Linked DNA regions of Mus musculus. The protein of the gene in region 2 purifies or fractionates together with the protein of the main gene of each other region. This does not show direct contact. Links are inferred from orthologs where the notes say so. Each region holds a gene or a part of one and is shown on either strand. Other genes may lie near its edges.

The links. Proteins that work in one complex are often made in the same cells at the same time.
Region 1: the proteins of Pde4dip (region 2) and Prkacb purify together in Homo sapiens (affinity purification with mass spectrometry; 5 studies listed by BioGRID and IntAct, counting the BioPlex papers as one, with this or other methods). This does not show direct contact. The link is inferred for Mus musculus from reciprocal best matches to the Homo sapiens genes PDE4DIP and PRKACB.

What each region holds. Positions count from the first base shown.
Region 1 is NC_000069.6:146,810,403-146,814,151, forward strand, and holds the start of Prkacb (cAMP-dependent protein kinase catalytic subunit beta), read right to left. Parts: upstream 2,545-3,749; 5' UTR 2,282-2,544; coding exon 2,236-2,281; intron 2,229-2,235; exon of another isoform or gene 1,799-2,228; intron 1-1,798. UniProt on the Homo sapiens protein: Mediates cAMP-dependent signaling triggered by receptor binding to GPCRs.
Region 2 is NC_000069.6:97,696,607-97,700,255, forward strand, and holds part of Pde4dip (myomegalin), read right to left. Parts: intron 3,379-3,649; coding exon 3,189-3,378; intron 2,628-3,188; coding exon 2,503-2,627; intron 609-2,502; coding exon 384-608; intron 1-383. UniProt on the Homo sapiens protein: Functions as an anchor sequestering components of the cAMP-dependent pathway to Golgi and/or centrosomes.

The DNA of each region.
Region 1 (3,749 bases), about 49 Mb from region 2:
GCTCTAGAATTCCCTGTCTGTGGGAGGCACTTCCTCATCAAACTGCAAATCTTACCTTCCTATCTTTAATTAGCTCTTCAAACCAAACACTGTGCTGCTGGTAACGTCTTGTGGTCTAATTTACTCTCAGCTCCAGCACTGACACTCTGCCTTTCACCTGATGCTACACAGTAAGTGACACTTTAGGATCTTGTCCACAGGTCTACGAGGAAACCCAAGCAGGTGGTAGCTACTCTGAGAGAGGACAGATTAATTAGTGATGCAGAGGTAGTCAGAGCCTCAGAGCTGTTCTTTACTCTCTCGTTGATAACATGATCTCAATTCTTGTTTCTTCAGGTCTGGCACTTGGTTGGGTCTTGAGTTAGGATGATTTCGTAGACTAAACTCTTAAGTGTATCTCTTAAAGTGTATTCTGTGTATCAAGAGAAATTTAAATGATTACATTTAAAATATGAGCCACAAATTTTCAGGAATAATTCATCTGAAAAGTACACAGAAGAGTTGGGGACAGAGTGGTAAGCCATGTTCTGTCATTACGTTTTATGACATTGTACCACTTCTTTGCTACAGAAGAGCACCAGCACACCTGGCTGACACTTCCCCCTGTGAGCCCTGAGAGCTGAGCCATGACCGTCTCCTATATCCCATGGGACATCTGCTGTCTTCTTTCGACACTTCACAATATTTTTCAAATGATTCTAATGTTCTTCAGTTTCTATAAATAAGTTCACACAAGACTTTGTCATAGCTGCTAGTTTAAATGCATATCGTCTAGGGGAAGTGTATAGACTGCTGGAGAGTGGACTATCATTAAAAATATAAGAACTGTGCAAGATAGCACTTGCTAAGAAAATTACTGGGCTGATCCAACTATCAAGCATATTTTCATAACACAATTAGCATACATTGTACAAGAGAAATAGGGGAAAAGCAATGTTACATGGATATAGTATTTTGTCATACTTCATTTTTTGTGAGTCTGTACAATTAGTTACTACATTTGCACAATTACTAAGATAACAAGGAAGTCCTAATTCTACATCGGCTTTTCAAGTTGTCACATGCTCACCAACAGTTTGCCCTGCTGTTCCATGCCCTGGAACGAACCTTATTGATGAAACATAACCCGTTAAATCTGACTGTTGTTTACATTCCACAAAAGCAATAGCTAGACTCTCTTCTGTCAACTCAACTCTGCTTTGTTCATGAGAATCAAAAGCTGTTTGCTTCAAGCTAATTACAAGATTGGCTTCATTCTTCTGTTATAAACACAGACACAATGGAAGACGTTACTTACAGTAACACGAACAAATTGTCAGACTTACTTCAAGGACTGAGATGTCATTAACCTATGGCAATGTAACAAAAGTCAGGGACCGTTCTCTAATTATTGTGAATTATAAATTATAATATGAGCCGAATAATGGCACACAATTTTCTCACAGCCTGTTACACAACACGCATATATGTGTATGCTTACATATAAAACCAAGTTGCTACACAGAAACTCAATTCCCACGACCCTTTTGTCTTGAAATTTTGTACACAGTACTGAACGTCTGAACTTTCAGCTCTCGGAAGAAAGCACTTCAACTCTGAAATGCCTCTAAGTTTTACAGGCATCCTGGAACATTCCTGGATGTCTAGAGTAAACGCAACGCTGTCTCACTTATTTTTCCTCGAATGGATAAAGTTGCTGCTTGTATTTATGTCTGCCATCTCTAATCTCTTGGGTGAAAGAAAGAGCCTTAGACACTAAGGGTTAACGTCACCTTTGGAGACCCTCACGGACACTCACCTTGTGAGAAAACTGATATACATCCAGGAGAAGGAGAAAAAGCCAAGTCAACCCAAACGTACTACCTGTGGCTCCCTTAAAGGAGGGTCTGGGTGTTGGGGGCTCTGGGAGAAAGAAGAGCTAAGGGTGCGATCACAAAAGGACCATATTTGGGGACGCGTTCCAGACCGTGGCAGCCCTCCTCGCTCTAGTAAGAAAGGGGATCACAGGGACCTCGCTGCCCGCCTTCCCTCTCTCCAGTGAGCCCCGGGGCTTGGCCCTCACCCCCGAGCCTTCGTGGGGGAGGGGACAGAGGAGGAGGCGGCCGGCCCCCGCGGCCACTGCAAGGCCCGGCCCGTGGCTCGCGCGCGGCCTTGGGGGGGACACCGGCCCAGGGCGCTGCACCGCGCGGCGGCCCATCCGGCGGGAACCCAGCCAGGGCCTTCGACTCGACTCACCGCTCTCCACTTCGCTGCCTTTCTTGGCGATCGCAGTGTTCCCCATGACCCGGGAGTCCGCAAGCAGGGATGACGGAGGGGAGGGGACCGGGGCCGTCCCGCCGCCCGCCCCGCAGTCGGCAGCAACTTTGGCTAGGCTTTGGCTAGGCTCCCGCAGACCCTAGAGCGCGGCGTCCGGCTGCACGGAGGGGCTGGGTGTCCGGGAGAGATGCTGAGAGCTCTCCGGCAGAGACCGGGACCGTGGCGGTGGCGGCGGTGGCGGCGGTGGCGGCGGCGGCAGCGGCGGCGCGCGGACACTCCCCCTTCCCGAGCCCGCCCTCCACGCGCGTCCCCGACACGGCGCGTCCCCAGGAGCCGCACACCCGGACTGCGACCTCCGCCTCTTTCCGGGCGGGCGCGCCGGAAGTGACGCGGTCAAGCCCCCCGGCGGGCGGGAGCCCCTCTGTGCAGGGTTGTAGCGGTAACTTATTGCTTGTTGCGTGGATGCTGGGCTTGGCCGCGGAGGCTAAGCTCGAAGTAGCGAGGGACGTGGGGACCGTTAGTTTGGAAGCACCCCAGATCCTTCCTCGGCCTGGCATCCGGTGCCCCAGAGCCGGGCGGGGGGCACAGTGCCAGGGCTCGGCCTGCTCCCGCATCCGTGTGGCCCGCGTTCCGCACGCCGTGGTTGCTCTCGCTTGATCTTCCTGCGTGGCTGCAGGGACGTGCGTGCGCCCCTCCGCGTCCTGCCGACCCTGCTGACCCTGAGGTCAGCGTTGGCCAGGAATGTCTTTTCTCAGCTCCCAGCTGTCATTGGAACTTCTTCCCTTCGCTCTTCTAGGTATTCTCCCAACACACCAGGTCAATCACCAACATTCTTGACAGCTTATCCCTTCCCGAGTTCCTTCTTCATGGTCTCACCTGATTGCCCTCACAAATTCTGTCAGGCTTTCTAAGGAGAGATATGGGAATGTGTTGCCTGTTTTACACAAGTACGTTATGTGCATCAACACAGTCACAAATTTCAAAATAAACGCATTCCCAATTGATTGTTGCGCTTCCATGCATCTGAGAGTACTTGAGCTTTTCCGTGAGGTTATTAGAAATTAATCACCTAGCCCTCTGGTAGTTTTTGTTCTGGTTTTTTTTTTTTTTTTTTTTTTTTTGAGCTTTTGCTATCTAAAAAAAAAGCATTCCAAATTTAGAACAGAAAGATTAACTTCTGGAAGGGCAGAGACCATGTAAGTTTATTTTGTGTCTGCAGCACAAACCACAGTTGGCGCGTAATGAACGGATGGTTGTTGGCTGCTAAGGAGATTTCCCAGAACATTTTAAAAGTTTTGTTATTGGGGAAAAAAAGTAGCGGTGAGTGGAAGATTCTAAACAGATTCATACTTCTATTATTGGCAATTATGTTAAATTACCAAGCATGTACACCAAGTATACTGCGTTCTAAGTGTTGTACAAATAGTAATTAGTTTCCTCATAAAGTCCCTATGCAAATGTGGCAAGACTATCATTGTTTTACTTAAGATCCA
Region 2 (3,649 bases):
GAATCAATCCTTATTGTTTCAAGCCTTTGACAATTATTTTATTTAATACTATAGAAAACCATACGGGCTATATTTTTTTTTATAAGCCCCATTTTCAAGTGGAGTAAACTAAGAGTAAGACACTTGAGCGTTTAAGACAAAGTAAGTTTCAGATGTAATTACCTCTGTGCCCTGAGCTTCAAGTCCAGGGATGCTGCATGCTGGCTTGTGAGAAGCAAACTCAGAATCTGGAGACAGGCCTGATCTTAACTGCCAGGCTGTCACTCGGGAGGCCCCAGAACATCCCCAGATTCTGTCTGACCCTCACTGATGGGTTCAGCAAGACTGTCCCGTCCCACAGACATCCCAGAGCAGAGGGCTCTGGCTCTCCTCTTCTTCCCTACCTTGGTGCAGGTTTGCTGGCTCTGCCTTGTCTGGGAAGCTCTGGCCAACAGCGATGGGGCCGAGACTGGCTTTGCCAGCACCACGATCCATCTGCTGTTCCAGCTGTAGCCGAAGACGGTTGTTCACTTCAATGCTCTGCTCCAACTGTCCTCTCAGAGCTCGAATCTCTGCCACCAGGCAGCTTAACTCACCCGGGACTTGGTGACAGGAATCTAGGCTAAAAGCTGAAAGTAGAAGGGAGGACACCTAATGGCACCAGTATGCATTTCCATGTAATAGTCAGATATTGCTCTGTGACATTCCTTTCTGCCAAGGGTCCCACTGGAGTCTCAGGGGCTTGGCCACACGTCTGTGGGATACAACCTTCTCATTCAGCCCTGGGAGCACAGCAAGGTTGCATATAACTAGCCTGGGATTTCTCTGAGGGTCAGATTAGTCATGTGTGCCCATGAGGCGTTTGGACTGGCAGGTGAGAATATGCCTACTGCGTCATCTCCCTGTTAAACTTTGTACTGCAGGCTAGAAAGCAGGTCAGCACTGAACGAAAAAGGAGTGAAGGTCGAGGGAGGACAACTGACGGATTCCATATGCAGGGAGGATAATCCGAACACGTGGGGCTTCTGGGGACAAAACACGGGAAGTCAGTCAGGTCTTAGACCTGGGCTCAACATTCCTAAGTGAAGTTTCAATTTCTCTTCACCACTTACCACACGCATTTGATATGGAAGGATAAAAAGATCTAATCAACAGTCCAACCTGAGAGCCACTTATATTTTGAAGGGCAGAATTAGTTTTGGATTTTACCAAGACTTTATCTATACCTCCAACTACCTGCAGGGCGCAGCTGCCCTCAGCCCTCAGGCCTTAGCCCAACACATAATTATTTTTGTCACCGGCTACGTGGACAGTCTAAGCAGACAGAGACTGGCTGTCCTCCCACCTCTTCAGGAATGCTTTGTCATCAAATGAGTACAGGAAAAGCCTGCAGCTTTAGCTACCTTGCTGGATTTTGGAATTCAAATGAAGAATTAGTAGTAATTGGTTTGAAATGAACTCAGGAAGGCCCATGCACTAACAGAACACAGCATGAAAAGGATACACAAACCCAGTGTGTGTGTGTGTGTGTGTGTGTGTGTGTGTGTGTGTGTGTGTGTGTGTGGTGCAGGGGAAGGGTGGTCATGATGAAGCAGCTTCATGGATGAAGGTTCTAGTGTGTTTTCTCTTCCTCTCATTCCAAGTTCTCACTAACTTTTGACTGTTTTTTGAAAAAAATATTCCCAGCATTCATTGCCCTTATCTTCCAGTTGTACCATATCTCTTATCACAATTTTAAATTTTTTTGAAATTATATCATTTCACCCTTCCCTTTCAACCATATAACCACCCCCTTCCAGCTCATGGCCTAATTGTTTCACACACACACACACACACACACACACACACACACCTGCTCAGTCCCTATAATGTCACTCCTGTGTTTTCTGGGCTGAGCATTTGATGGTGGATAACCAGGTGATGCACTCTTCCCTAGGGCCTGTGGTCCTCTGCCCAGGGCTGGGGCCTTATTTGCTATCCCCCTTCTGAATTAGCATGGCTATTGCTGTCCTTTATCTCCACAGTAGGACCTTGTCTCTTGATCTAAAAACACTGCTACATTTATCCAAAATTCTTCCCAGACTGGAGGTCTCCTAAGTCCTGACTCTAGTATGTTCCATAGACTCAGCATCTTAAAACTCTGGAGCCGTCTTCCTGGAAAGTAAACTCTGGTCTTGAATTTTAGGCTTTCTATGTGGCAGCAGCCTCCCTTCCCACTGCCCTGACTTCTTACCTCTCCTTTCTTTTGGTTTTGAGTCGGTTTCTCCACTTGGGGAAGGGAGGCGGGATAGATGCTGATGGTATGGGCTGTCATGGTCTGTCCTTCAGCACAGGTAAGGATCCTTTCAGATGGTGACAGCCCTAGGGTATTTCTTTATATAAACCATGCTATAATCTTGCTCCTGATTAAGTTGCTTTTTTTTATTAAGTGGGTGAAGTGATCTTTCAGTCTGTCCTTAAGGGTACCCAGGCTTGATCTGCTCATGTCAACCCTTGGGCTTTGGTGAGAATGGGGGCTCATACCTTTCAAGGCCTTCTTGGGATTTTCACAGAGGGACTCGTAGATCTGGAGCTCTGACTGCAGGGACAGGGAGAGCTGCTGTTTCTCTTCGCACTGTTGTTGCAGGAGGGCCAGCTTGTGCTGCAGCCTGCCAAGGAGAGGCAAGGGTTTACTGAGCCAAGTGGGAGAAATGAGCCTCGAGCCAACCTTTGCCTCAGTTGGCCTGGTAGGATGGCCTGGCCATCACATTCATTTGGCAGACTCTGGGGCAGGTAAAGTTAGTTAGCCTGAAGTTGGAACACTAGCTCTGTGTGCAGGCAGCAGTGTAAGCACACTACAAGCCCCTCTCTGCCCCACAGTGCTCTCCACATTGACAGAAAGATGCAGGGCTTCCACTGGGATAACAACTTGCAGTTTATGGCAAGAGTGATGTCATGCATCTAGTGAGAAGGGTGGGACTGCTCTCCTGCCAGTCTCTGACAGATGGAAACCTCTGTAATAGGATTTTATCACTCTACTTCATACTATAAAAACACTATTCTCTCTTTTTGTGTGTGTGTCTCAAATAGAGTCTTCCTTTTGCTCCAAGTGACCAGTGAGGCAGAAGAGTAAAGAAGGAACTGAAGTTCCCAAAGGAGGAAACTACTGATTTGTCAATATCCCTTCTGCACTGAGAAGCCGGGCCATTCCATATCAAGGCCCTGCCTACCTGGAGTTGTTTTCCTGGAGCGACAGCCTCTCCTCTCGGAACTGCACGATCTCATCCTGCTTCTCCTGCAAGTCTTCCAGGAGCTGCTGCCGCTCAGCCTTCTGCTGCTCCAGCTCCTTCTCCAGCTCCTGAAGCTGGGATCTGGAGGAGAGCAGAGCCTCCCGCAGGTGATCCACTTCCTGGGAGTGTCCTGATGAGCGGGACACAGGGGTATTTATGTCATGGCCTGAAGCCCATGAGAAAGACAAACCCAAGCACACGTGAGGCCAGGGGAAGGAAGGTCCCGTGTGGCCGAGCAGTCTGGCTTAGTGGACCCTACGTACTGGGGCTTGGGTGGCAGTGGTGTTTGTGGTATCTGACCCTCCATTTAAGAACACCTGCCCTAGCTCTTAGAGGAGACAGCGAGTTCCCGAAGCTCAGCGTTTTCTAGGTGTTCGTGGGCAGCTATTCAACTGTACACC